Linked DNA regions of Oryctolagus cuniculus. The protein of the gene in region 6 interacts with the protein of the main gene of each other region in a pairwise test. Links are inferred from orthologs where the notes say so. Each region holds a gene or a part of one and is shown on either strand. Other genes may lie near its edges. The genes, in order: FDPS, TMEM203, ALG3, TM4SF4, TMEM115, CREB3 and SFT2D2.

What was found.
Region 1: the proteins of CREB3 (region 6) and FDPS interact in a two-hybrid assay, tested with the Homo sapiens proteins (2 studies listed by BioGRID and IntAct). The two-hybrid records come from large-scale screens. The link is inferred for Oryctolagus cuniculus from reciprocal best matches to the Homo sapiens genes CREB3 and FDPS.
Region 2: the proteins of CREB3 (region 6) and TMEM203 interact in a two-hybrid assay, tested with the Homo sapiens proteins (2 studies listed by BioGRID and IntAct). The two-hybrid records come from large-scale screens. The link is inferred for Oryctolagus cuniculus from reciprocal best matches to the Homo sapiens genes CREB3 and TMEM203.
Region 3: the proteins of CREB3 (region 6) and ALG3 interact in binary tests that used the Homo sapiens proteins (3 or more experiments, as listed by UniProt). The link is inferred for Oryctolagus cuniculus from reciprocal best matches to the Homo sapiens genes CREB3 and ALG3.
Region 4: the proteins of CREB3 (region 6) and TM4SF4 interact in a two-hybrid assay, tested with the Homo sapiens proteins (2 studies listed by BioGRID and IntAct). The two-hybrid records come from large-scale screens. The link is inferred for Oryctolagus cuniculus from reciprocal best matches to the Homo sapiens genes CREB3 and TM4SF4.
Region 5: the proteins of CREB3 (region 6) and TMEM115 interact in a two-hybrid assay, tested with the Homo sapiens proteins (2 studies listed by BioGRID and IntAct). The two-hybrid records come from large-scale screens. The link is inferred for Oryctolagus cuniculus from reciprocal best matches to the Homo sapiens genes CREB3 and TMEM115.
Region 7: the proteins of CREB3 (region 6) and SFT2D2 interact in a two-hybrid assay, tested with the Homo sapiens proteins (2 studies listed by BioGRID and IntAct). The two-hybrid records come from large-scale screens. The link is inferred for Oryctolagus cuniculus from reciprocal best matches to the Homo sapiens genes CREB3 and SFT2D2.

What each region holds. Positions count from the first base shown.
Region 1 is NC_091438.1:43,239,661-43,243,772, reverse strand, and holds the start of FDPS (farnesyl pyrophosphate synthase), read left to right. Parts: upstream 1-1,312; intron 1,313-1,962; exon of another isoform or gene 1,963-2,072; 5' UTR 2,073-2,109; coding exon 2,110-2,288; intron 2,289-2,364; coding exon 2,365-2,527; intron 2,528-3,619; coding exon 3,620-3,760; intron 3,761-4,112. UniProt on the Homo sapiens protein: Key enzyme in isoprenoid biosynthesis which catalyzes the formation of farnesyl diphosphate (FPP), a precursor for several classes of essential metabolites including sterols, dolichols, carotenoids, and ubiquinones.
Region 2 is NC_091432.1:237,493,020-237,495,653, reverse strand, and holds TMEM203 (transmembrane protein 203), read left to right. Parts: upstream 1-1,158; coding exon 1,159-1,569; 3' UTR 1,570-2,134; downstream 2,135-2,634. Other genes in the region: NDOR1 (NADPH-dependent diflavin oxidoreductase 1), read right to left, coding at 565-593, 753-1,008. UniProt on the Homo sapiens protein: Involved in the regulation of cellular calcium homeotasis. Required for spermatogenesis. Acts as a regulator of STING-mediated inflammatory signaling in macrophages.
Region 3 is NC_091435.1:93,820,390-93,823,218, reverse strand, and holds part of ALG3 (dol-P-Man:Man(5)GlcNAc(2)-PP-Dol alpha-1,3-mannosyltransferase), read left to right. Parts: coding exon 1-36; intron 37-477; coding exon 478-598; intron 599-1,003; coding exon 1,004-1,221; intron 1,222-1,373; coding exon 1,374-1,451; intron 1,452-2,008; coding exon 2,009-2,152; intron 2,153-2,312; coding exon 2,313-2,475; coding exon of another isoform or gene 2,476-2,546; 3' UTR 2,547-2,829. UniProt on the Homo sapiens protein: Dol-P-Man:Man(5)GlcNAc(2)-PP-Dol alpha-1,3-mannosyltransferase that operates in the biosynthetic pathway of dolichol-linked oligosaccharides, the glycan precursors employed in protein asparagine (N)-glycosylation.
Region 4 is NC_091435.1:131,995,143-131,999,253, reverse strand, and holds the start of TM4SF4 (transmembrane 4 L6 family member 4), read left to right. Parts: upstream 1-1,311; 5' UTR 1,312-1,582; coding exon 1,583-1,756; intron 1,757-2,437; coding exon 2,438-2,527; intron 2,528-4,111. UniProt on the Homo sapiens protein: Regulates the adhesive and proliferative status of intestinal epithelial cells. Can mediate density-dependent cell proliferation.
Region 5 is NC_091441.1:98,960,911-98,964,999, forward strand, and holds the start of TMEM115 (transmembrane protein 115), read left to right. Parts: upstream 1-1,289; 5' UTR 1,290-1,784; coding exon 1,785-2,635; intron 2,636-4,089. UniProt on the Homo sapiens protein: May play a role in retrograde transport of proteins from the Golgi to the endoplasmic reticulum. May indirectly play a role in protein glycosylation in the Golgi.
Region 6 is NC_091432.1:198,639,847-198,643,871, reverse strand, and holds the start of CREB3 (cyclic AMP-responsive element-binding protein 3), read right to left. Parts: upstream 2,801-4,025; coding exon 2,363-2,800; exon of another isoform or gene 2,359-2,362; intron 2,262-2,358; coding exon 2,124-2,261; intron 2,027-2,123; coding exon 1,879-2,026; intron 1,803-1,878; coding exon 1,735-1,802; intron 1,616-1,734; coding exon 1,526-1,615; intron 1-1,525. UniProt on the Homo sapiens protein: Endoplasmic reticulum (ER)-bound sequence-specific transcription factor that directly binds DNA and activates transcription. Plays a role in the unfolded protein response (UPR), promoting cell survival versus ER stress-induced apoptotic cell death.
Region 7 is NC_091438.1:30,514,871-30,518,956, forward strand, and holds the start of SFT2D2 (vesicle transport protein SFT2B), read right to left. Parts: upstream 2,801-4,086; 5' UTR 2,667-2,800; coding exon 2,604-2,666; intron 1-2,603. UniProt on the Homo sapiens protein: May be involved in fusion of retrograde transport vesicles derived from an endocytic compartment with the Golgi complex.

The DNA.
Region 1 (4,112 bases), on a different chromosome or scaffold from region 6:
GGAATATATATATATATACACACACATATATATATGATGTATTATGATGTATTCATTTATTTGAACATTAGAGAGAGAGAGAGAATCTTCCATCCACTGGTTCACTCCCCAAATGGCCTCATATTGCTGGGCCAAGTGGAAGCCAAGAGCTTCTTCAGGTCCCCCATGTGGATGGCAGGGACCCAAGAACTTGCGCCATCTTCCACTGCTTCCCCAGGTCATTAGCAGGGCGTCGAGTGGGAGGTGGTGCAGCCAGGACTCGAACTGGCATCCATGTGGGATGCCAGCGCTACAGGCAGCGGCTTAACCCACAGAGCCACAGTGCCCCACGTCCTGTTACTGAGCTGTGGGGATTTAGGAGGGTTAATGGAGGAAGAGCCAAAGTGGTCAAGCCAGGCATGTATGGTTGAGGGGCCTCGTTATAGTCTCACTTATAGTTATAAAATTCAGCATTTTATATTCATTGCCTCTTGATTTTGTCCTGATGCAACTGATGAAGAAAGCCAAGAAATCAATTGGACCGAGGGTCACAGCTATTAAGTGATTTCCCTGAGTTGGAGAACTAATTAATGTCAAAGTTGACCCTTTTTGTAAAAAAAAAATTATTTATTTGAAAGGCAGAGCTACAAAGGAAGAGGGAGAGAGAGAGAGAGAGAGAGAGAGAGAGAGAGAGAGAATGAATCTTCCAACCGCTGGTTCACTCCCCAGATGGCCTCAATGGCAGGAGCTGGGCCCATCAGGAGCCAGGAGCTTCTTCCAGGTCTCTCACATGTGTGCAGGGGCCCAAGGACTTGGGCCATCTTCTACTGCTTTCCCAGGTCATAGCAGGGAGCTGGAGCGGAGGCTTTGTCGCCGAGTCGGCCCCCAGTTATACCAACCTGCCACGCCGCTGTGCAGGAATATAACGAAAATGGGAGCGGAGAGTAAGGCAACAGCCAGGAGGCAGAGCGGGGGCGTGGGCAGCTGGTTAGCCGCCAGCACTGCCCCCGCCCCCGCCCGGGGGCCTGCGTCCGCTAGGCTGACAGCCCTTGCACAGCCCTTTCATTGGTCATCCGCCACAGAACCCATGCTCATACGAGGGCAAGCACCCAATCAGCGATGCTCGTCTCCGCCCAGCCGGCCCACGCTAGATCGCGCTGTTTCTGTCCCCCCCGTGGCACGCCGGGAGTTGTAGTCTAATGTCGCGTCTCTGCCGGCGAAGGAGGGAGATTCGGAACTACTCCACCCAAAGGGCTGAGCGCGGATCGTGTTCGGCTTTTAGGAGTAAGCCGCCAACAATCTGGCTCAAGCAAGAACCCGCATCCAGGAACAGGTGAGAGAGGTCGCGTGCTGGGACTGGAGGCGGAGGTCCGAGACCCGGCCTTACTTCTCTAGGGATGCTGTGGGGCACGGGAAGCCCAGTCTGTTGTGCTGGGGTCGGTGGCTCAGCCAGCCGGCCCTCTGGCTGTGCGGAAACTCCCGAACTTCGCCCATGTGTTTTCCTGACACTGCCCACCATGTCGGACCTGGGTTTACTCCTGCTGCGAGCCCTCCCCGCCCGCCCAGAGTTGCTCCGAGGCCATCTGCCCAAATCCCAGCGCCTCCTGCGAGGCTCGGGATGCCCCGTGCTCGCGCTCCACCGCTTGTGTCCGCAGCACCCATGGGGCGTAACTCAGAGCCTGGGCACCCCGCTTCATCGTCTGTCTAGGAAGAGCTGGCTTCTAGATTTGGCAGTGCTTCTGCCCAGCTGCCCTCTTAGCTCCTAGGCCCCCCAGTTTGGCTTCTGTGTGATTTAGGGATCCTCTTAACCCTAGTCCTGGGGTGCCGCGCTCTGCACCCACTCCTTCTCCAGCCTCGTGCACGCAGCCTTCGATTCTAACCTTACTCCTAAGTGGCTATCTGTTGGGTCCCAGTCACCAGCCCTACTTTTTGTTCCCTGAAATATCCTTTCTGTAGTTATTCCCAACTTTTGCCCCCAAGGGGGCGGGGCGTTGTGGGCCAAGAAGTTTAAAAGGTTGGTGGGGGTCTTCCAGGAGCTGCGACCAAGCAGCTGCCTTCGACCAAGCAGCTGCCTTCGGTGCTTGCCCCTGCAGGGAGTGCTCGGTGCCCCCACCCCATGCCACTCCCACGATGCCCTTGTCCCGCTGGCTGAGATCTGTGGGGCTCCTCCTGCTGCCAGCTCCCTGCTGGGTGCCCCGGGAGAGGTTGCTGGGTTCCCTACGGAGGCCCTCTCTGGTGCACGGGTACCCGGTCCTGGGGGCCTGGCACAGTGCCCGATGCTGGTGCCAAGCGAGGACAGAGGAGCCCCGGTGAGTGTGGTTGGGGTGAGGGGTCTTGGGGAGGGGAGCACCGGTCGGGTCTCTGACTTGTTCTTCCCTTCTTCAGAGCACTTTGCTCCTCTCTCATAATGAACGGAGACCAGAAGCCAGATGCTTACGCCCAAGAGAAGCAGGACTTCATCCAGCACTTCTCGCAGATCGTCAGGGTGCTGACCGAGGAGGAGATGGGGCACCCGGAGACGGGCGACGCTATTGCCCGTCTTAAGGAGGTGAGGGAGGCGTGACTGGAGCACGTGAGCCACTGGGCACCCTGCCCTTGTGTGTGGGCTACAGCTGTGGCTTTTGGTTCTGGACAGAGAAAGGAGGAGGCTTTTTAGGGGTGGCTTTGGGCAGGGCTGTGTGGGGTGCCTGTTTCAACCTGACTTCTGGCTGTGGGAGGGGATGGGCCACCCACACTGCTCTGCGTGGAACCGGGTAAGGCTGTGGTTCAGTGTCCTGGAGTCGGAAGGGGACAGCCAGGGGAGGAAGGCGGGCTGGGGGGTCCTGTCTCCCCTAACCCGGAACCCCCCCCCCCCCAGGGTGATTGCTGTGATGCTGAAGTTGCCTAATCGTTTGCTTTTGTTCCTTTGGAGTGTCTAGTAAAATTCTTTCTCTAAGCGTTGTCTGTCTCGTCTCTGAGGGGACCCGAGGGAAGGCGGGGAGGGCTCTGTCCGCGTGGAGATGGGGATTGAAGGGGACGTCGGCTCCGGGGCAGAGCAGAAGGCAAAGTGAGACCCAAGCACTGGGCAAGGCGATGCAGCCAGAGTGCGCCTGGGCACGAGGGGACCCGGCCGCTGTGCCCATGACTTGGGGGAAGGCAGGGGAGCAGCTCCCTGGAGGAGGAGGTGGGGTTAGGGAGGAGAAAGGTAGGTGGGAAATGGATCTCCAACCTGGGTCCCCTCCAACGCCTCCTCTGGCCAACTTTGGGGGGCCTTGTCTTTCGTAGGGAGGGAGGCTTTCACTGCAGGTGGGCTGAACTCTGGGTAGCAGGTGTAGGGCAGAGTGGTGAAGGGGAGGTCCAGGGACGTGGGGATGGGGCAGGGACCTGAGAAGGAGGCCTGAACAAAATGCGTGCTGAGCATCTCCTGAGTTCAAACCCCGTTTAGGGTTGGGGAGCAGCATTGAATCCACTATGGAGCCTGGGCACTGGCTGTCTCCAGGACTTCAGGGAAGGAGCCAAGGGAATAGCAATTCCAGGGGCTCCCTGGAGGAGGCGCTGGGGAGGCTACAGGAAGGGGGCACTGGAGAATGGGGGAAGGCAGGGAGAACCTCAGTTGGTGTCGTGTGGACTCTGACGCCCTGTCCCTCCCCCTCGTTGCCAGGTCCTGGAGTACAATGCCATTGGCGGCAAGTACAACCGGGGTTTGACGGTGCTGGTGGCCTTCCGGGAGCTGGTGGAGCCACGGAAGCAGGACGCTGAGAGTCTCCAGCGGGCCCTGACCGTGGGCTGGTGTGTGGAACTGGTGAGAGGGGCTTCCGAGAGGAGGGCGCAGGGGCCTCGTGTCTGTGCTTCTGTGCCTCTCGTGTGCTGGTGCCAGTTTTACCTAGGGGATCACTCCCGGGGTTAACAAGCGGGGGCACCCTCCTTGGTCATCAGCTGTATAAATAAGTGCAGGTAGACGAGAACCTGGCCTCCAAACCTGCCAGAGAGGCCTCAGCTCTGTGCTCGGAGCAGGAGACCTGCACTGCGTTCCTGAATGCCAGGCCTTTGGGGAGTGAACCACTGGGGAGTTCTGTCTGTCTCAGAAAATCTGTACGTGCTTGTAAAATCTGTTGGGTCACTCCCCAAATGGCTGTAACAGTTGAGGCTGGGCC
Region 2 (2,634 bases), about 39 Mb from region 6:
AGCGGCCCTCCGCGCTGCCCCTCTGCTCCTCCCACCACCGCCCTGCAAGGGCGCCTCAGCCCCTGCGTGCCCACCGCCCCTTCTGTGGGTGAGCAGAAGGCCTGGACCTGACAGCTGTCGCCCCACGGCTTCCGGCCCACCTGCCTGACCGCCGCTGCCCGGCCACTCTGCACTGGGCCTGGCTTCCTGCCGCCCCTCCCTGCAGCGCCAAGCACCCTCCTCCCGGGCCTGGCGCCCCGCTCGCTGCAGGACCAGAGGCTCTGCTCGCACCCCGCGGCTGGCCCCCCTAGCATCTGGCACCTTCCCCAGCCGCGGGCACTTCCGGCGCCGACTGGACCGCCCAGCACGCTCGCTGCTTCTGCTCCCGGGAGCCCCGGCCCCAGCCCGTGCCCAGGCTGCACCGAGACCTAAAGGCCCTTCCCCGGGAGCCACAGGAGACCAGACCAGCCTGTCCGCGAGCGGTGAACACGGAGGGCGAGGCTTCTCCGACAGCACCGGCGGAGAGCCACTGACTACCGCCGGTGTCTCTCCAAGTGCGGGGCGGAGCCCCCGGGCCAGCCTTACCTTCATGTTGTCCGGGGGGTCTCCCTGGCCTGCAGTTGCACAAACAAATACCACCAGGCGCTCGTTGATCAGGTTCACCTCAAGAGAAGACACGCAGGTAAGACCTCGTGCGGGGACACCGCACCGAGGGCGCCCCCTGCGAGCACCCCCGCGGCCCGGCCCCCTCCCCGCGCCCCCGGAGCGCTCACCACCGCGTAGGAGTCCAGCGCCTGCACGCGGCAGCCGAGCCTCCGGCGCCGGGCCTCGCGGCCCAGCCTCTCCGCCACATCCTGGGCCGTGCCCGTCTGGCTGCCGAACAGCACCAGCAGCTGCGGGCTCGGCATCGCGGCTCCCCCGGGGGGCGGTCCCCGCCACCAGGTGCACCGCCGGCGCCCGCCGCGAGGCGACTTCCGCTTTCCGCCGCCCACCGGAAGTGACGCACTTGGGCCGCGCCCGGCGGGGCATGGCGTCCGAGCGCCGCGGGCGTCGGCGGGCGGCCGGTGCGGGGTTCCGGGCGGCGGCCGGCGGCGGCGGCGGCGCGGCCGCTCGCTGCCTCGCGCTCGCGGCGGTTGCGGGGGCGGCGGGCGAGGCCCCGGGCCGCGCGCGGCCGGCGCCATGCTCTTCTCGCTGCGGGAGCTGGTGCAGTGGCTGGGCTTCGCGCCCTTCGAGAGCTTCGTGCACCTGCTGGCCCTGCTGGTGTTCTCCGTGCTGCTGGCGCTGCGCGCCGACGGCCTGGCGCCCGGCCTGTCCTGGTGGAACGTGTTCGTGCCGCTGTTCGCCGCCGACGGGCTGAGCGCCTACTTCACCACCATCGTGTCCGTGCGCCTCTTCCAGGACGGGGAGAAGCGGCTGGCCGTGCTGCGCCTCTTCTGGGTGCTCACGGTGCTAAGCCTCAAGTTCGTCTTTGAGATGCTGCTGTGCCAGAAGCTGGTGGAGCAGACCCGGGAGCTGTGGTTCGGCCTCATCGCGTCGCCCGTCTTCATCCTGCTGCAGCTGCTCATGATCCGCGCCTGTCGGGTCAACTAGCCCCGCGGCGGGGGTGCGTGCCCGGGCCTGTGGGGCGGCCAGCCCCGCGCCGGGGGTGCGGGACCCCGAGCCCGGGGCGTGGGCCAGCCGGGGCCCCACCTCCGCCCGCTGCACCAGAGACAGCGCCTGCTCCTGCCCAGCCGAGCGGCCACTTTGCTGCCCAGAAGTCGTGGCTGACATTGCTTCTCCCGTTAGCTCGGGGCCTGCACAGCAGCTGCCCCGCTGGACTCAGGGACTTCCTGGCCCGGCTGTGCTGACCCAAGAGCTCCAGTCGCACCGTGCTGTCCAGGCTGTGTGAGATGGTGGATCTCCTGCCTGATGTCCTTTCTCCATCCCGGCCACCACGCAGGGCCTGAAGGACGTCAGACCGCGTCCGCTGTCAGCTGGGAGCATCGCTCTGCCATGGGGTTGGCCGAGAGGAACAGGTGCCCGGTGCCCTGAGGATTGAGACCTGCAGGTGGGAAGCGGGGTGGCCGGCTCTGTCGGCCGCGGTCTTTGGTCTGACGCCAGTTGGGTGCCAAGTGGGAACATCTGCGATAAAAATAAAAGAGAATCTTTCCGGAAAGGCGCGGGTTTTCTGTGCGTCCTGAAGACGGGCCCCTGCGTGGGTCTCACGGCGGGGCTTGGGGTGGACCTGGAGGGGAGGCGAGCGGGGGCGCCCAGGTGAGGGCACCTGCCATGTGTGGCTCTGCAGGGCCGGGGGCAAAGCTGCCCTGAACCCTGGTTTCCCGCCACTCGTGAGCTGGGGAGGCTTCCACGTTTAGAAGGGTTCGGGATGAAGGGTGTGTGACGGTGGCCGCGGCCCGAGTGGCAGGGCAGCACCCGGCACCTCGGCCGACGGGGCCTGGCCGTCCTCCGAGGACGGGTGCTGGCCTGAGGCTGTAGGGCGTCCAGCAGTGTCCACGGCCTCTAGGGCTCGGGACCGCTTTTCCCAGAGCAGGTGTGCTGACCCTGCTGTGACAGCCTGTCCAGCCTGTGGGCCTGTGTCCCCTTGCCTGAGGGGTGCCGGTCCTGTAGGCTCGCTACCGCACTGCCCTGCACTTGGGAGACCCCTGGCCGGGTCAG
Region 3 (2,829 bases), on a different chromosome or scaffold from region 6:
GGCACAGCGCTGGGGCTGGGGCTGCTGCTGCTTCAGGTCAGCACCCCTCACTTCTGGCATCTCTAGCTCGCTCTTCCCAGTTTCCTGCAGCAGAGGGAGTTATGGAGTGGCCAGAAAACAATGTGGGTTACTCAGGGCCCCCAGGGCAAGTCCAGGCTCTGTGGGGCGTGTCCACCATCACACCACACGTGCCCTCTTCCCTGCCTCTCTCCCCATTGTTGGAGTTGGTCTTGGCATGTTCTAAATACCCAGTACATGTTTACGCAGTCTGGGAGTAGAGCTAGGTGTCTACCCCTACCCCGACCTCTTCCCAAATGACCTTGCCCTCCCTCCAGCAGTTCTGAATGTGGGCCCCATCCTGGAGCTTGCTGGCCTGGAGGAAAAAGTTGCTGTGGAGCCAATAGGGAACTGGGTGTTTGGGTGGGAGGCATGGCCCTAGGGCTGACCTCTCCCCTTCCTCTTCCCTGCCCGCCCCAGCCTGGCAGTCTCTGTGAAGATGAACATACTGCTCTTCGCCCCTGGGTTACTGTTCCTCCTCCTCACCCAGTTTGGCTTCCGTGGGGCCCTCCCCAAGCTGGGCATCTGTGCTGTCCTCCAGGTACCTCACCCTGCCCTTTTCCAGTGAAGGGGAAGCCACCTGTCTGGCCTCCTTTGACCCCTGGAACTTCCTCAAAGCCAAGGGATGGGGTTTTGGAGTTGATTCTGAACTTGGCTGGGCTGCGGCTGTCTCTGGGCTTTCATCTCAGTAGCTATCAAACAAGGATGTTGAACTGGGTGGTCCCTGAGAGATTTGGCTCTGCCCATTATGACTTGGTGAATCGAAACTTTAAAGCATAGTGATTCTCTGCCTCCTTGGCTTCTTTGGCCCCCGCACTGGCTGGGGGTGGCTTCCTGCTATTCCTGGTGAGAATGAGGGAAACTCTAGGGCCTCCATCCCACTCCTGCACCCCTCAGTGGTTCGCATGATGCGTGGGGTGAACCTTGGCAGCTCTGCCCACATCAGACCCATCCTCAGGTGGTGCTGGGGCTGCCCTTCCTGCTGAAGAACCCCATTGGCTACCTATCCCGTTCCTTTGACCTGGGCCGTCAGTTCCTCTTCCGCTGGACAGTGAACTGGCGCTTCCTCCCTGAGGCCCTCTTCCTGCATCGGGCCTTCCACCTGGCCCTGCTGGCCGCCCACCTCTCCCTGCTTTTGCTGTTTGCTCTCTGCAGGTGGCACAGGTAAGAAAGGGAGTGGCATGGCAGAGTTGGGGGAAGGAGTGAAGGGCCCTGGACTTAGGGCTGCTTTGGGGGAGAGGTCAAGCTCATGGGGGCGAGTCTAGAGTTTGGCCCACAGTGGGGACCTGATGAATATCTACATGGCTTCTCCCCAGGTCGGGGGAAAGTATCCTGTCACTGCTGAAGGATCCCTCCAAAAGGAAGGTCCCGCCCCAGCCCCTCACCCCCAATCATATCCTTTCAATCACTGGAAGGTAAGTCTTCCCATCTGCAGTGGCAGACGGAGCTCCAGTCTTCAGGCCCGGATGGCTGCTGACCTGAGACAGGTACCGGGAGCCCATTCGTAGCGTCCCTGCTCTGTACCAGTCGCTGAGCTGAGCAGTTCACATATTGAAGTTTATTCTCAATTCTAAACAGTAAGCCCCCAGTATGAGTGCTCACATGCTGTCCTAAGAGATCCGTGTGCATTCTGACACTCCCTGAGGTAGGGATGTACTGTCACCACTCTCATTTACAGATGGCAAAATTAAGGGGTTAAAAATTAGGGAACTTAACAAGATCACACAGCTAGTAAGGGACTCACTCATTAGGCTTTACAGCCTTGGCTGTTACTGGCTCCAGGTTAGACTAAAGAACAGATCCAGAGAGGTGAAGAAACTCGCCCAAAGGTGTGAATCTGGGAATGGCTGAGCGAGGGGGACTTTTGATCCTAAAACTTTTCCCCTATGTTTTGGGAACCCTCGACTCCTCCCTTTTCTGCTCCTGCCCTTGGCCTTGACCATCAAATACAGATCGTTTCTATCCTTTTCACCTCCAACTTCATTGGCATCTGCTTCAGCCGCTCCCTCCACTACCAGTTCTATGTCTGGTATTTCCATACACTGCCCTACCTCCTGTGGGCCACACCTGCACGCTGGCTCACACACCTGCTCAGGTACTGGCTGGGACACCTGGGGGTGGGGGAGGGGCGAGGGAGTTCCTTGTGCCAAGGCTGCAACCATGGAGGTGCTGGGGGACGGACGCATGTAGGGCACGAGGAGCAGGACTACAGGCCTTGACACTGGACAAAACCCAGAGCCTCTTCTCATCTCTAGGCTGCTGGTGCTGGGGCTCATCGAGCTCTCCTGGAACACGTACCCATCCACGTCCTGCAGCTCTGCTGCCCTGCACGCGTGCCATGCCGTCATCCTGCTGCAGCTGTGGCTGGGCCCGCAGCCTTTCCCCAAGAACGTCCAGCAGGACAAGAAAGGCCACTGAAACCCGCCCCGTCCTCCTCCAGTCCACTCCCAGGACCCCGGGTGGGTTGGACTCAGTGCCCTTGGGAATAAACCTTGCCAAGTCCACCTCTCTGCAGCTTACATGGAGGCAGGGGCAGCCGGTGTGTGGACACAGTGGTGAGGTATGTACAGGGCAGATAAAGAACTCACTCTGGAAGTCCTAAGAGGCACTTTATTGCATAGGAATTAGGAACTGTGGGTCTCTCCCCTTCCACTGTGCTGCACAGAGCTCAGAGCACACAGCCAAAGGGTTTGGGGTGGGAAGAGTGGGAGAGAGCACCGGCAGGCACTTCTTGGGGCACAAGGATTCTGGGGAGGGAATGAGAAGCAGTGG
Region 4 (4,111 bases), on a different chromosome or scaffold from region 6:
GGCTCTCCTTCGAAGTTACTCACGTACCACACCTTAAAATCCAGGAGGAAGTCTGAAGCAGGGCCCCCTGTATCTTTTATTTCTTTCATCTGTTCACTCACTGTAGATCAACAACTCCAGTCGCTAGTCTGAAAAGTCTAGGGCTTCCTGGCTGTGTTGACCAGTGCTGATCCAATGCCACACTTCTAGAAGCACAAGACACAGTCCATGGAGAAAGAAAAAAAACCCAGACCCTGAAGGGGAGCAGACTTGCTCCAAGGTGGCACCAGCATTTGACTAATGCAACTTTTAGAAGCCTGGAACATTTTTCTTCTTTGCTGTTATTACTCCCAAAGCGCTTTGTCAAAAGCTGATGGGTTATAAATAAAGGCTACTGCCCACCTGTCTGGGTGTTGGGAAATAACCGGCTGCAGAGGGTCTCCTGGTGATCATGATGCACCTTGCTTTTTGTTCAACTAAAACTGGGCTCCCTAAGCAATTTTACCTGTTGCTCTCAGTTCCGACCTCCAAGCTCTCAAGGAAAAGCTGGCAAGGCTTCTTGCTCCACCCCTGATCCTTCTACTGTTACGTAAGCCCAGTACCAGGCAGGGTCATCGCGCACTGTGGATCTTAGTCTAGGCGTGGCACAGACTTTCTCTGATGACACAAAGCAACTGTATCGCACCCCTGGCAGTTGACAGAATTCCCAACAGGGGTGCGTTGCACCGCCTCCCACGCTTTGTCCTCTCTGCTTCCAGTTGAAACACAGATAATTCTCTCCGTCTCCTCTGCCCTGTGGAACTTCCTTTCCCCTTAGCCTTTGTGAACCCAGTGGTTTCCATTCCTCCATGTAAGATGTAGCTACGCGAGCTGAGTAGGAAAACCGCTTTAGCTAATTCCATCTCACCTGGTGGGAGACATCGTACACACTTGAGTAACCAGTAGAGAAACACAATGAAATAAAATAATTTCCATAGGCAATTAGACCATCAAATTATTTTCATGTTGAAGAAAACAGACCGCTCTTTGGCTTAACCTCACATCCCAGGTTCTCCGCGGAAAAGACCAAGCACACGCACTACAGACCATTAAGTTCTTGGGAGACAGAATCTTAACCAGGATGTAACTCAGTTATGAGGGTCATTTGTGAAGACCCCGGGGGGAAATATTTCTTTAACTGGGCAGGGGCATTGTCAGATTAGAGGGGCAGGGCTTTTAAGCGCTGTCCGTGCCAGCCCCGTCTTCGATCGCAGCAATGTGAGTGTCTTGTCGGTGCTGGTAGATTATTAACAGAGGTTATTGGTCTCCATGGCAAAACGATTGACTGATTGCACTGAGCATAATCTCATTTATGGGGGTGCAGGGAAAAAAGGGACGTCAAGCTGCGGAGAATTATAAATGTCCATCACCACTGAGGTTCTGCCATACTTGAGCGGCTGAAGTGACTCCAAGGACACAGCTCACAGGGATTTGGTTCTCGGTCCCAAAATACTGAGTGCACCGGGGACAATTACTGGGGCACTCCAGCCAAAACCCTTGAAGAGGCCCCGGGCAGGAGGCAGCCAGGAGTCCGTTGCTGCTGAGCAGTGCTGGGCCTCTCAGCATGTGCACAGGGAGCTGTGCCAAGTGCCTGGGGGGCACCCTCATCCCCCTGGCCGTGCTTGGCTTGCTGGCTAACATCCTGCTGTTTTTCCCGGGAGGGAGAGTGGCGGACAACAACGACCACATTACCACGGAGGTCTGGTATTTCGGAGGAATATGTGGAAACGGGATCTTGGTGAGTAGGGAAAAGCCTTACAGTCTGCCTACCTGGGCTCCCCCTCCGTTCTATCCTAAGTGCAGTCCTTACCGAACAGAGACGCAGTTCTGGGTTAACGAAAGCCCGAGCAATGCGTGCTGAGCAGGCAGTGCATAGTTGATGTCCTCGCTCTGTTAGACTGACAAGGACAGTCCACTGGGTCTACTGACTAATCCCCTGGCTTGGGCTGGCGGTCCTCATGGGACATTCAAGTCCTGTGAACCAAATCGATGGCTGCAAAAAAAAAAAAAAAGAATGCTTTCTAGAGACTTGATTGGCATAAACTACCAAGAGATGCAGGCGTCAATGGAGTCTTCCTCCATTGGTGAAAGATTTCTTTATCCCTGGTTTCCAGCAGAATTGGGAAGCTCTGGTGGGACGGGAGCTTTTCCTGTCCATTGAGGAACAGCTCCTCGGTCGTGTGCTAACCCACCACCTAAATAAAAACTCGGGGTGCCAGACCTGAAAGCTTGCCGTGTTGAAGCTGAAGGCAGTCGGGTCGAATGGAACCTTAGCTCCCATTAACGCTCCTTCTGCCCAGCCAGCCATGCCTGGCTGGCGTTTGCCGCCCAGCCCCTGGGAGCCTGCAAGCCCCCCTGACCAGGGACGGGGCTCCTGACGCAGCCAGACCTCCCTCTGAGACTTTTCTCTTGCTGGCAGATGATCTTCCCTGCGCTGGTGTTCTTGGGCTTGAAGAACAATGACTGCTGTGGGTGCTGCGGCAACCAGAGCTGTGGGAAGCGGTTCGCGGTGAGTTCCTGCGGCAGCCAAGAGGGTGCGCTGTGTCTCCCAGGATGGGCAGCCTGGGGCAGGGGCAAGTGAGCCCACCCCCGCCAGGACTCTGGGGGCCAGCTGGGGCGGGGAGAAACCTGGGAGTCTTGCTGTTGGTACAAAATAACAACAATGATACATCTGTATAGGAGGCAACCTTCAAACTGGTAGGGGATGACACCTCTGTTACCAGGAGGCAGGGTAGTCGGAGCTGGGGAACCAGAGTGGTGCCATTTAAAGGAAGTAGGCTTGGAAGGTGCGGGTGGGGGATGTAGCTCTCCCCCTGCCACGGACAGGCCACGGAGTCTTGGACAAGGCATTGCCTTTCTCTGGCCCTGCCTTGTTTCAACTGTAAAGAGAATTTGAGACAGGGTAAAAGATGGCACATTCCCCCTCCCCCAACAGCTCCCCAGTCCCCCACCTAAGCCACTGCCGGGTCCACTATCTCTGTGCCCAGCAGTTCCCGGCTCCACCCAGGTTCTGCCTCCGGACCTCGGTTTCCTCTCTTGCTTTGTGTGGCCCTCCATCTGTTAGCTGGAGAGCTGGAGAGATCAGGCAGGTATCAGCCTCTGGGAAGGGGAGACGATGCTGGGACCCGGGGTTGGGTCCCCTTCTTGCAGCTGGGCAAGTCCCTGCGCTGTTCTGCCTCCCTTCACGCCTCTGAAAACGGAGGAAGTGGAACTAGATCAGAATTTCCCACATTTGGGGCCAGTCCCGGTGGTAGGTATCCGGATGCGCTTTATCTTTGAACAGCAAAGAATGTTTTCAATTCTTTTTCAATCCATGTAGTTCTAGTAAGGAAAAAAAAAAAAAAAAAAAACATTTTGATGGCGCTCAGTCTTTATTATTTCAGACCCTTTCTAATCGCCCTGTAGAACAAAGGAAGTACAAGTCTCAGGCTCCAGGAACACAAGCAACATTAACTAAAATTCAATAATGTGTGCTTGTGTCCGCTAATGAGGCTAGTTCTCATTTATAATAGTGATATAAATGAATAAGATACAGAGTTACTTGCAGAAAAAAGCACTGAGTTTAGGTATATCGATGTGGGGGAAATGAAGAAGGAAAAACTAGAATTACAGGCTGGATGATGAGTAAGGCCAGGTTTTCCTCTAATCTCCACGGTTCAATTCCATCTAAGAGACTTGTGAACCCCAGCAGTAAACTGTACACACTCACTTCAACTTCTTAAAGGGAAAGATGTTTCAATCCTTCTGAAACAGAATCGTCTGAACGTTTCTTTCTCATCATTATCTGCTCATTTATTCAATTAAATATTTATTGGAGGGCAAAGACTGGTGCATTGTGCATATATGTGGGTACTTCCAAAAGTTCATGAAAAATCAGATTAAAAGGTAAGTTTATTTTGGTGTAAAAATGATTTAATTCGTGTACAGTTTTTTTATAGTACTTATTTTCCATGAACTTTTAAAAGACCCTTTGTACTAGTTTTCCATTTGAGATCGAAGATCATTCAGACAATGTATTCAACCTTCTAACCACTGTCATGGGTCTCAAAAAAGTATTGATAATTATTCCTTTAACATCTAAAATAATTATTTT
Region 5 (4,089 bases), on a different chromosome or scaffold from region 6:
TATTGTTGATATTTGAGCGCCCTATAGTTTGGTTTTCTAAGTCTGGCCATCCTAGCTGGCCGTGGCAGCCACCAGCAGCCTGTGCGATGCAGGCGGCTCTGTGCACTGAGCCCAGTGGCTGAAAAGAAGGGATTTACACTTTATACGATAAAGTACTTTAAAATTTTTTTTTTATTTATAGAGTTACAGAGAGAGGGAGAGACAGAGGTCGGTCTTCCATCTGCTGGTTCACTCCCCAAATGGCCACAACGGCCGGAGCTGTGCCAGACCAAAGCCAGGAGCCAGGAGCTGCTTCCCTGTCTCCCATGTGGGTTCAGGGGCCCAAGCACGTGGGCCATCCTCCACTGCTTTCCCAGGCATATTAGTAGGGAGCTGACTGGAAGTGGAGCAGCCTGGACTCGAACTGGCGCCCATATAAGATGCCGGCAGCGTCAGAGACAGCTGCTTAACCCACTGAATATCAACGCTGGGCCCAAAAGTACTGTTATGTTCTAATTACACATTTTTAAAAACTGAGACGTATATCTACCATAGGATACAAACTGTCAGGAGCCCCTGTGACGTGAGTAGGGGGCCCAGGCTTGTAGGGGAGCCTCTGGTGGGGAGCAGAGTCTGGAGGGCAGCCCAGCCTCACCTCTTCGGGAGCGGGAGTCCTGGGTTCACTTCAGGGTCCACCTTCCTTGTGTCCAGGGCAGCGTGAGCCACACACACGCTAAGCAGCCAGGTAGACTGGCATTTTACACTCCTGTTCCCTTTTATCCTTAGGGTAGAAAGGTTCTGCCACCATCTGCATTTTACAGCCCATGACCTCGAGTTTCAAAAAGGTTCTGGAACTCGGGCACTGTCACACAGCCGCCAAATAGCAGCGCAAGGATTCCAGCCTGGGTCCAAGCCCATCGACCAGACCGCGGAGGTTCCAATAGTCCCCACACATTGGTTCACACACCTGCTCACAAGGACAGGTGTGCATACACAAACGGAGCTACTTTTCCCGGACAATTCAGCAAGTGTGTGGCCTGAGGCGGTGCTGCCTCCGAACCTGCCTCACCGCTATCCGAGGTTGGCAATACTCCATCACCCACCCCACCCTACCCCTGCCACTTTCCAATAACCAGCGGAAATGGTCTTCAGAACTACAACTCCCAGCATACGCTCTCATCACCGACGGGGATGGTGCGCGCGTACAGCCTCCTGGGACTTGTAGTTCCACCAGGAACCCCGTTCCGCTCGTCCCCGGCGGCGGCCAAGGACTCAGTATCCCAGCATGCCGAGGAGCCGGAAGGCAGGCGCGGAGGGCATCCCGCCGCCGCCGGGGGCGCGCAGGCGCGGCACCCCTGTTTGTTGGCCCCTGAGAAGGAGGAGGTACGGTCGAAGCCAAGACCGAGGCCGAGCCGGAGCTGACCCGGCTTGACTCGGGCCCAGAGCAAGGCGTCAGCCCTGCGCGGACTAAAGGACTCCGGAGTGGATGGAGAAGGCGCAGTCCTGAGATCAACGCTAGCCCGGCTGGCCTGGCGCGCGGCCTACAGGGCAGGCAGGCAGGCAGGCGCGCCGAAGCCGCCCGGGGCCTTCCCGCAGGTCCTGGGCGAGGGGCCTAGGCTCCGGCCCGGCGACAAGGCCCGGTTCGGCCCCTGGGCACCACAGCCCTCTCCGACCGGAAGCAGGTCCTTCACCAGGGACACAGACCAGTGACTAGGCCGGACCCGGGCCTCCCGTCGGGGCCGGGCTAGGGCGAGCCCCGGGGAGGCCCCCAGCCCCGTTCCTGCAGGCCGCCGCCCGCCGGGAAGATGCAGCGCGCCCTGCCTGGCGCTCGCCAGCACCTGGGGGCCGTCCTGGCCAGCGCCAGCGTGGTGGTGAAGGCGCTGTGCGCCGCGGTGCTCTTCCTCTACCTGCTCTCCTTCGCCGTGGACACGCGCTGCCTGGCGGTCACCCCGGGCTACCTCTTTCCGCCCAACTTCTGGATTTGGACCCTGGCCACCCACGGGCTGATGGAGCAGCACGTGTGGGACGTGGCCATCAGCCTGGCCACAGTGGTGGTGGCCGGGCGCTTGCTGGAGCCCCTCTGGGGTGCCTTGGAGCTGCTCATCTTCTTCTTAGTGGTGAACGTGTCTGTGGGGCTGCTGGGGGCCTTCGCCTACCTCCTCACCTACATGGCTTCCTTCAACTTGTTCTACCTGTTCACCATCCGCATCCACGGCGCGCTGGGCTTCCTGGGTGGTGTCCTGGTGGCACTCAAGCAAACCATGGGGGACTGTGTGGTCCTGCGAGTGCCCCAGGTGCGTGTCAGTGTGGTGCCCATGCTGCTGCTGGCGCTGCTGCTGCTGCTGCGGCTGGCCACGCTGCTCCAGAGCCCGGCCCTGGCTTCCTACGGCTTCGGCCTGCTCTCCAGCTGGGTGTACCTGCGTTTCTACCAGCGTCATAGTCGGGGCCGAGGGGACATGGCCGACCACTTCGCGTTTGCCACCTTCTTCCCCGAGATCCTGCAGCCCGTGGTGGGGCTGCTGGCGGACGTGGTGCACGGCCTCCTGGTGAAAGTCAGGGTCTGCCAGAAGACGGTAAAGCGCTACGACGTGGGCGCCCCGTCCTCCATCACCATCAGCCTCCCGGGCACAGACCCGCAGGACGCCGAGCGGAGAAGGTACCGTGACAGCTTCCCCCCACCTTGCCAGGCTAGGAGGGCGCTGCGCGAGTCACCTGCCAGCTGAGTGCCGGGCCGAGGCCGGTGTCGGGGCAGCCGATCGGAGAGAGAGCCGGTCTTTGGGGTTGAGGACATCAGCATGTGGGTGGCTGGGCTCCGGCAGGTGCTGTGCGAGTCTAAGGCAGGGAGACTCGGAGTCCTCCACGTGGGCGCGCTGGGAGCCACAGCCAGCCTCCCGGGCCTGCACCCTGAGAGGGAGGGTCAGGGAAGGAGGCCTCGGGTCCCTAAGAGCTGGCCTGGGCCAGCCCAGTCCCCGGGTGCTGACCTGCAGCCTCTCCCTGGCCCCTGACCCGGACTCTGCTTCGCCAGCCTGGGGTATCGCCAACTCTCCCCCCCCCCCCTCGGCAGGCTGTGCTGCTCAGCCCGGGGACAGGCCACCTGACCCCCTCGGGAGCCCGCTGCCCGCACCAGGGCTGAAACCCCCTTTTCCTCAGGTGCAAACCAAGTCCCGCCGGGTGACCCGCTGGCTTTCTGATTCAGCTCTCCCCAGGGCGTCATCAGCGCCGCGTCACTGGGAGGCAATTGCTTGAGTGGTGCAGCCAGGGCAGGCCTTGTGCCGGTGCAATGTCAGGGGCTCCCCGTCTCCCCCTGTCAGGTGGGGTCTGGCAGGAAGCTCTGTGAGCAGAGCTGAAGAGTTGGCCCTGCCCTCTCTCACCTGGCGCCGTGCGCTTCCAGCCAGGCACGGGCCAGAGTACTGTGAGCCCAGCCGGTGGGCGCTGGAAATACACCTGGCACGCCGGGCCCAGCTCTGGGCCGTGCAGCGTGGGTCGCTGTGGGCGACAAGGCCTCTAGACAGCCGTCCGGCTCAGCTTCTCCAGTGGGGATGGGCCCAGGACACTGGGCCTGCTGGGAGGGGAGCTGCCCTCAGAGCTCTAAAGGGGGGCCGGGCCAGGCGGCCCTCCTCCAGGGAGAGACCTTGGGTTACCAGGATCGCTGGACACCAGAAAGCAGACAGGAGGCGGGGGGGCAGGGTCAAGGTGGGCTCTGAGCCCAGCCTTTTGGTCGGCTGACGTGGGGTGGGGGTTACTCCCACCAGAGCGCTGCCAGTAGGGGGAAGCAGGGTTCCGTCCTCTTCCACCCTGTGAGGAAGCGACTGCCGGCAGGCCTCAGCCCGGCACGGGCACCTGGGATGGAGCCTAGGTAGCACAGGGAGGGCGCCCTGCCTGTGCCAGGCCTGGCCTGCTGGGAGCTTTGGTTCTCCGCTGGAGCCTGGAAGGCTGCACAGGCTGTCCCTGCGTGGGCAGCAGTCCAGGGCGGGGGATTACTGCCTGGGGGGCCTTCCCGCCTCCCCCCACAGTGGGCCTGGCCTGGGCCCTGCCCATGTGGACTGCACCGAGCTCTGCTCTAACACAGGTCTTGGTGGTCTTGGGGATTCTGGGAAGGATGACGTCTGT
Region 6 (4,025 bases):
TCCCTTGTCTAGCCTCCCTAACCAGTAGCCATTTTGGTTTCCATCAGAATGCCTCTAAAGACCAGGTGTTAAGATCACAGGTGCCAGAGCATTTTTAACAATTTCATTCACTGAAAAATTTCTTACCCTGAATTAACATCTGCCTCCATGTAATTTCTATCCATTGAACTTATCTCTGGGGTCGTGTAGAACAAAATTCTACATAGCTGTTTTAAGGCTGTTGGCATTTCCTCAGAGTTTAAAAAAACACACACACAAAAAAACCCTGGACAGACTTCTTAACCCAACATTTCACCATCACTGCATCCTCTTGGTATCTGTCAAAGATACAGGCCCAAAACTGGGCACTTAAAATGCACTGTGATTTGTACAAAAGACAGCAAGACAGTCTTGCCTTTTTAGAGACAATGCATGTATTGACGCTGCTTCCACATCCCACTTGCTTTGCCATATCTCACTGCTGACTCATCTTGTACTTTTAAGAAGTTAAAATTTCTTTAATAAGTACTTATTTTATTACAGGGTCACAATACTGTGCTTGTGAAGTCACCACCCAGTGTTGAAACTTAAAACTTATGCTTCTACATTTGTACTGTTAGAAGGCTTAGTCCAGGCCGGCGCCGTGGCTCACTAGGCTAATCCTCCACCTTGCGGCGCCGGCACGCCGGGTTCTAGTCCCAGTCGGGGCGCCGGATTCTGTCCCGGTTGCCCCTCTTCCAGGCCAGCTCTCTGCTATGGCCTGCAGCTCTCTGCAGTGGAGGCTGGCCCAAGTGCTTGGGCCCTGCACCCCATGGGAGACCAGGAGAAGCACCTGGCTCCTGGCTTCAGATCAGCGCAGTGCACCAGCCCCAGCAGCCATTGGAGGGTGAACCAACAGCAAAAGGAAGACCTTTCTCTCTGTCTCTCTCTTTCACTGTCCATTCTGCCTGTCAAAAAAAAAAAAAAAAAAAAAAAGAAGGCTTAATCCAGCCTCATTGAACTCCCTAAAACAATTCTCCCATTCAGCGCGATGTAGATTACCACCAAGCCGATGAACTCCAAGTGGCAGAGCCCTTCCCTTGCACAGTCCTGCCCAAGGCCCTACGCTAATGTTGCATTGATAATTCTGAAATCTTTTTTCTTAGAACACCAAAATGTGTTAGAAGCCTCACAAAACCAGGATCCACCCTTGCATCTAGCATATTAACCAACAACTCTGCTAAGATGTTCACCTCTTAAGTGTATCTTATTTTTGACACTGATATTACACACATCTATAGGATACAGAGTGACATTTAAGTAATGTATACAATGTAAAAATAAGTAGGGCAGGGTAACTGGCACATGTATCACTGCAGACATTTATCATTTCTTTGAATCAGAAACTGAATATCCTCTCTGCTAGCTATTTTGAAATGCAGCTGCTACCAAGCATAACGTTAGAAGTGACTCCTATCTGACTGCATTCCGGTACAGGTCGACCAGCCTCTCTGCACTCTCCCTCCCCTACACCCTCCAGCCTTTGCCCCACCAATGGGAGCCTTACCTTGGTGAGAGGAAGCGTTCCAGGCAGAGTAAGCCCCTCCTTCTCCAGTAGCCTCTTCTCCTCCTCGGTCAGTACCAGCCTAGCAACCTCCTGAGGTTACGGGGAAGTAGGCAGCAGTTGCATGGGGATGTCCGAAAGAAATGGGAATTCCCGCCCCGCCCCGCCCCGTGCAATGTGGGGATAAGCCTCCTGAAAATCAAGTCAGCTACCTGCTCTGTTGGCTCCTCCACATACAGCGGAGTCATCGGAGCCTCCTCCTTCCCATAGCTCCCACTATCTGCAAAAGGGCAATTGTGACTAGCCGGGCCCACGGACCCTCTCCTCTAGCTCCCAACTTTTCTGATGTCACTCACCTACGTCCACGGAGACATGCTCCTGTGGGAGGGAGTAAGTGTGATCGTGGTGCACAGGCGAGGGCTCGCAGGAGCTGAGGTCGGCCAACGACGCCGGGGGACTCAGCAGGGTGCTCAGCAGATCCTCTGCCTCCCAGTCGCTCAGTACCTGCACCGGGTTCAAATTCCCAGGCCCTGGCCTGTCACTGACACCCGGGTCTCGCGGACGTGCCGCGCCTCCCTGACGCGGAGCCCTACCCACCCACCTCGGAAAGCGGCAGCTCCCAATCCGGGGGCGCCTCCACCGACTCATCGGCTGCCTCCCCCCATGCTCCGCTCTGCTCGAGCAGGAAGCCGAGCAGGTCCTGATCGCCAGGGTCCAACGCCAGCTCCATCTGCGACATCTACGGCAGAAACTCAAGGGTTCACTTCGCAGCCCGGTTCCAATACGCGAGCCCCAGGCACGACCCCCAGCCCAACCGCCGGGTCTCTCCCGCCTACCCACCGCTCCTCTTCGGCTGGCCTTCCCCGCTGCCGGGGCGGCAGTCGCTGTCAAGCCCGACCCACCCACCCGCCGGACTCCGTCGCCCTCGGCCTCCAACACAGCACAAGTGACGCACGCGGCCCCGCGGCCTCTCGGGACTTGTAGTTCCCTCCGAGCCGGAAGTGGCTCGGGTGCTGCGCCACGTCCCGGGGGCGATGCAAATGAGGGGGACGTCCCCGCCCCGGGGGCGGGGACACCGGCGACTCGCCTCCGCCTTCGCCCCGAGCTAGAAAAAAGGAAGAGTCCGAGTGTAACAGGGAACTCGGGCGCCGCTGGGGTGTTTTCTCCGGATTGCGCCGCGCCCTGGCTTCCTGCCGGGGAGGGGCTGCCAGTCTTCGGCGGGCTCGCGAGCATCGAGAGCTGGGGCCAGAGCAGCTTCCTGCAGGTCCCCAAAACCATAGAGCGCGGGCCCAGGGCGCCGCCCGGGGGTGGGGGACGCGCCGGGGACGGAAGTGGCCGAGTGTGGCGAAGGGAGGGCGAGGCCGGAGCCGGAGAGCGGGCCCGGAGGACGAGCAGGGCCGGCGGGCGGGGCGCAGAGCCGGGCAGCGCAGGTAGGCCGCGGCGGGCCGGGCCGGAACCTCGGGGTGGGGCCGCGAGGTCTGGCCCGGGAGGCGGGCGGGCGCGGCCCCTGACTGCGGCGCGTCTATGGCGGGTTCTGGGGGAGACGTCAGCTTCCAGGGTGTCTCGGCAGGCCGATCTGCGGGAGGTGGCTCCTCTGCGGGAGCAGTCCTTGGCCTGGAATAGGTTTTGGGGAAGGGTGAGGAGTGTGGCGGCCGCGGGGCGCAGGGCGGGGATGGGCTTTGGTGTTTGCTGATAGCGGGGATGTTGGGCTGGAGAGCTGTGGATGAGTCTGGGTTTAGGTGGGGTTGGGTTTGGGAATCAAGGGTCTCTTTAGGAGGTGTAAGGCCGGGGTTAACGCTTGAGTTATTGGCGTGATTTAGATCCGTTTTATAAATAAGTGAGGTTGAGGTTGAGGTCGTTATTTTGTTTCCTGGGATGACCAGAGGTAAGTCAGAGTTAAAAGAGTTCAGGGTCAGGTTAATGGTCAACAACAGGAATTAGGTTAGAAGTCCATTTTAAGGATCATAGGATATTGTCGTGGTCAGTTTTAAGGATAAACAGTGAAAAGGTGAGTTAGGAATCAAGTTACAGGTGAGCTAATTTAGACTTAGGGGTCAACATTTTGGGTTAAAGTCAGCAGATTTGGTGCTAACGGTAAAAATTAGTTGAGCCTTAGGGATCAAGGATTGGATGCTTGCTGGTCTCTGCTAGGAGGGGGATTCTATGAGAATGAGGAAACAAATTAGGGCACTAAGGGCAGACCCAGGCCAGGAATATTGACCTTGGGCAGATAACATTTAAGAGGTCGGCAATAGATCGATGCCTTTGGTGTGTGTGTGTGTGTGTGTGTGTGAGAGAAAGAGAGAGTGGGGGGGAGGGAAGTCCCCTCATTTTTATTTAGTCACAGGAGCTTCTTTCAGCCAGAGAGATGACACATTTTGGGTTGGGGTTCTGGACTTCAGGTAGAATTTCCTCGATTCCTCTCTAAGCTCAATGCTGTTGCTGTGGCCACCACAGTTACGGGGCAGGGATTGCTGGACTGTGTTCTGTATGAGATGGGAGG
Region 7 (4,086 bases), on a different chromosome or scaffold from region 6:
ATGAAAACGCGACACCACTGCATCAGTGCCGGCATTTTCAAGGAGGACCTAGCCTAGGCAGTAAAAACTAAGCCAAGACAGCCCTGAAAACACGTCTGCCGGCTACAAGATGTTTCCGAGGAAACACAAGAAGCACACAAAATGAATCTCACTCAGAGGGACTCGTATTTCAGAACGAGAGAGGGGCATCCACTCTTTGTAAAATAGATTTAATACATGTGTGCACTGACAACACATTAAAGCCCTCCACGGCATCCACCACTTCAGGGGAAAAACAAACAGCATTTATGTTTCCCAACTGCACTTCTGAGGGCCCGTCCACTGCCTCACGAAGACTTTCTAATGCATAATATCCACATCACCCCCAAGAGTCTTCAGGAGGAGAAAGGGTCACCCTCTTTTTCTAAGATTTACTGAACTATTGGAAAGGCAGACGAGAGAGAGAGAGAGAGAGATCTTTCATCCACTGGTTCACTCCCCTAATGCCCACAACAACCAGGGCTGGGCCCAGCTTGGAACTCCAGCCAGGTCTCCCACATGGGTGACAAGGACCCAGTTACTCGGGCCATCTTCTGCTGCTTTCCCAGTTGCATTAGCAGGAAGAACGGATCAGAAGCGGAGCAGCCAAGACTTGAACCAGCCTTCAGATACAGAATGCTGGGGGCCACAATGCGTGCCCCAAGGGTCTCCCTCTTGAGTACCCACAGCTCCTAAGAGTTTGGGGGCAGTCAGTGGGGCCACAAGGCTTTCAGGAACAATAAGGATCAACTTCCTGAGTGTCAGACCTTTCTTCACAAGAGACCAGAAATCAAGAAAAAAGAACCCATCAAATCACTCCTGAGCTTTGGCCAATTAATAAAGGTCATAAATTTTTTAAAACCAACAGAGCTGTGTTGCAATGTCAGAAAAGCCAAACCAGTGAACACGTCATCCCAAGCACATCAGGCTGGGGATGCCCACATCCCACACTGGAGGGCCTGAGATTGAGTCCTGCCTGGTTCCCATCCAGCTTCCTGTGATGCACACCCTGGGAAGATGGCATATGATTGCCCAAGTACTTGGGTTCTGCCACCCACGGGAAGATCCAGATGGAGTTCCAGGCTCCTGGCTTCAGCCCGGCCCACCCTAACTGTTGCTGACACTTGGGGAATGAACCAACAGATGGAAGATCTCTCTCTCTCTCTCTCCCTGCCTTTCAAATAAATAAACTGTTTTTAAACTTTGGGGCTGGCGCTGTGGCGTAGTGGGCTAAGCCTCCGCCTGCATTGCTGGGATCCCATATGGGTGTTGGGTCAAGTTTTGGCTGCTCCTCTTTGGATCCAGCTTTCTGCTATGGCCTGGGAAAACAGTGTAGGATGGACCAAGTGCTTGGGCCCCTGCACCTAAGTGGGAGACCCAGAGGAAGCTCCTGGCTTCAGATCAGCTCAGCTCCAGCTGTTGTGGCTATCTGGGGAGTGAACCAGCGGACAGAGGACCTCTCTCTCTCTCTCTCTCTCTCTCTCTCTCTCTCAGTAACTCTACCTCTCAAATAAGTAAATAAAAATCTTTAAAAAAAAAAAAAAAACAGTCAAACTTCAATTTTTGCTAACCCTTGACTCTTAGAGTGTTCACCCCTTCAAAGCAAAGATTCAAAGAACAGATTTTACACTGAGATTTCACGGAGGGAGTGGAGGTACTAGCAACATACAAAACAACACGCATTATAAAATCAGCAATCCCCCAAGCGGGAAAGCGGCGTGCTGAGAAAACAGACTCAAGCTACAGCGAAAACTCGAGTTCCCAGCCGAAAGCAGGTGCATCATCTTGCACAACGTCCTTAACTTCACAGGTGGGAAAAGTGAGACTACGGAATGCACCAAACAGCAGAGGAAAACGCTGTCTGCCATCCAGAACGCCAAACGAAAACCAAAGCTATAAAAAGCACTCAAAACAGAAACACGATGCTGTGCGGTTCTAGAGCTCCGGGCATTAGCGACCGCGTTTCTCTGCTCCATCAAAAATAAACAAAGGCGCGGGCAGAGCCTAGGCGCAGACGGCGTGAACAGAGAGGCATAGGGGATGGGGGTTGGCCCCTGTCCCCCGGGAGTTCGCGGTTTGCTCGTGGAGCCAGTTGTGCAGCCGAGGCGGGCGCGGGGCAGCGAACCGGGAAGCCTCAGCCCCGCCAGCCCGGACCAGCCACCTTCCGGGCCACGGCTCTCTCCGCCTCGGCTCAGCGCCCCCAGCCCAGGGCCTGCACGCCAGCTCGCTCGCTCTCGCAGACTCTTCCGAGCTCTCCCTCCAGCGCCGCCCCCTCTTTACGGGAAATGAAGCTGAGAAGGCTGACCGGGCGCAGAACAAAACAGGACACAGAGGGCGACAAGCCCCGTGCTAAAAAGCTCCTGCGCTCCCGTCCCCTGGGTCGGGGGTCCTAGCGGAGGCCCGCAGTGGGGTAGCGGGGAGGAAGCAACAGGGGCAGAGCTGCTTTCCAAGGAACCCTGGAAGTCCTGCCCGGCTTTCCCGCCCGCATCCGCCGGCGCCGACTTCGGAGGCCCGGGCCGGGGGCACGGCCATCGGCTGGGGACAGTCGGGGGCCGGCGAGGTGCGGCCGGCCCGGGCATACCCACCTCGGACAGACCGCTGCGGTCCTCGGTGTCCTGCCCGCTCAGCACCTTCTTCAGCTTGTCCATCGCGGGGCTGGTCCCTCGGCAAGCAGCCTGTTGCGCTCGCCGAGCCGACGGCTCTTCCGGGTCTGGGCCGCGGCGGCCGCCGCCCCTCGCCCCGCCGCCAACCACGGCACGCCCCGCCCAGGTACCTGCCCACCTGGCCGGCCCCGGCGTGCCCCGCGCGGCCGCCCCTGGCTCTGCGGACCGGAGGAGGTGCGGCCTCGTGCGCACTTGGGAACGGGTGCCCTGGCTGATGCACCCTGTGAGTGTACTGACAGGGAAGAGATTTAAAAAAAAATCGGGCGAGGCTAACTGGAGTGAACGCCATCCAACAAGCTTTGTAGAGATGGCAAAGAAGAGTAGCTGAGCCCGCTGCAACTCCCCCTGCATCCCATAGGAGCCCTAGTTGGAGTCCGGGCTGCCCCACTGCTTTCCAGCTCCCTGATAATGCGCCTGGCATTATCATTAAGGCAGTGTAAAATGGGCCCTGCACCCCTATGGGAGACCTGGATGGAGTTCCTGGCTTCATCCTGGCCCGGCCCTGGCCACAGTGGCCATTTGGGGAGTGAACCAGCAGGTGGAAAATTCATCGTGCTCTCCGTAACTCTGCCTTTCCAATAAATATTTAATTTTTTTTTTTTTGACAGGCAGAGTGGACAGTGAGAGAGAGAGAGACAGAGAGAAAGGTCTTCCTTTGCTGTTGACAGGCAGAGTAGACAGAGAGAGAGAGAGACAGAGAGAAAGGTCTTCCTTTGCCGTTGGTTCACCCTCCAATGGCCGCCGGGGAGGACTTGGGCCATCGTCCACTGCACTCCCGGGCCATAGCAGAGAGCTGGCCTGGAAGAGGAGCAACCTGGACAGAATCTGGCGCCCCTACCGGGACTAGAACACGGTGTGTTGGCGCCACAGGCGGAGGATTAGCCTACTGAGCCACGGTGCCGGCCTCCCATAAATATATAAATCTTAAGAAAGAGAAGCAGCAACACTGCTGTATTTCCACCTGGAAATGCATCAAGGTGGGTGATCTCGAGGCACGTGTTAGACCTTGGTGGACCCGGAAGCAATATTAGACTGTTCTGTTTGTTAAATGATTTGTTTTACTGACCTCCCACCAGACTCCAGTGCTAATGCTTGGTTTTGGAGAATCCATGTGTTATCCCCTAGGCAAGATCAAAGGCAAATCATGGACTCAGGTGGCAAACTGGTAGCTGGATAAGGCCTGGGAAACCTACTCTGAGATTGAATCAGCCAGGAACATGCATAGATTTTCAGGAGCACCCACTGGAAGATCGGTTACAGCATCTGCTCCTAATACTCACAACAATGCTGAGGAACTAAGTAGGAATTCTAATGTTACCAAGAAGTTGGATCTCTTAGAATTTAATAATAATTAAGCAAAGGGATTTGCACAAAACCATACCCAAGTCAGTCAAATGGTACAACC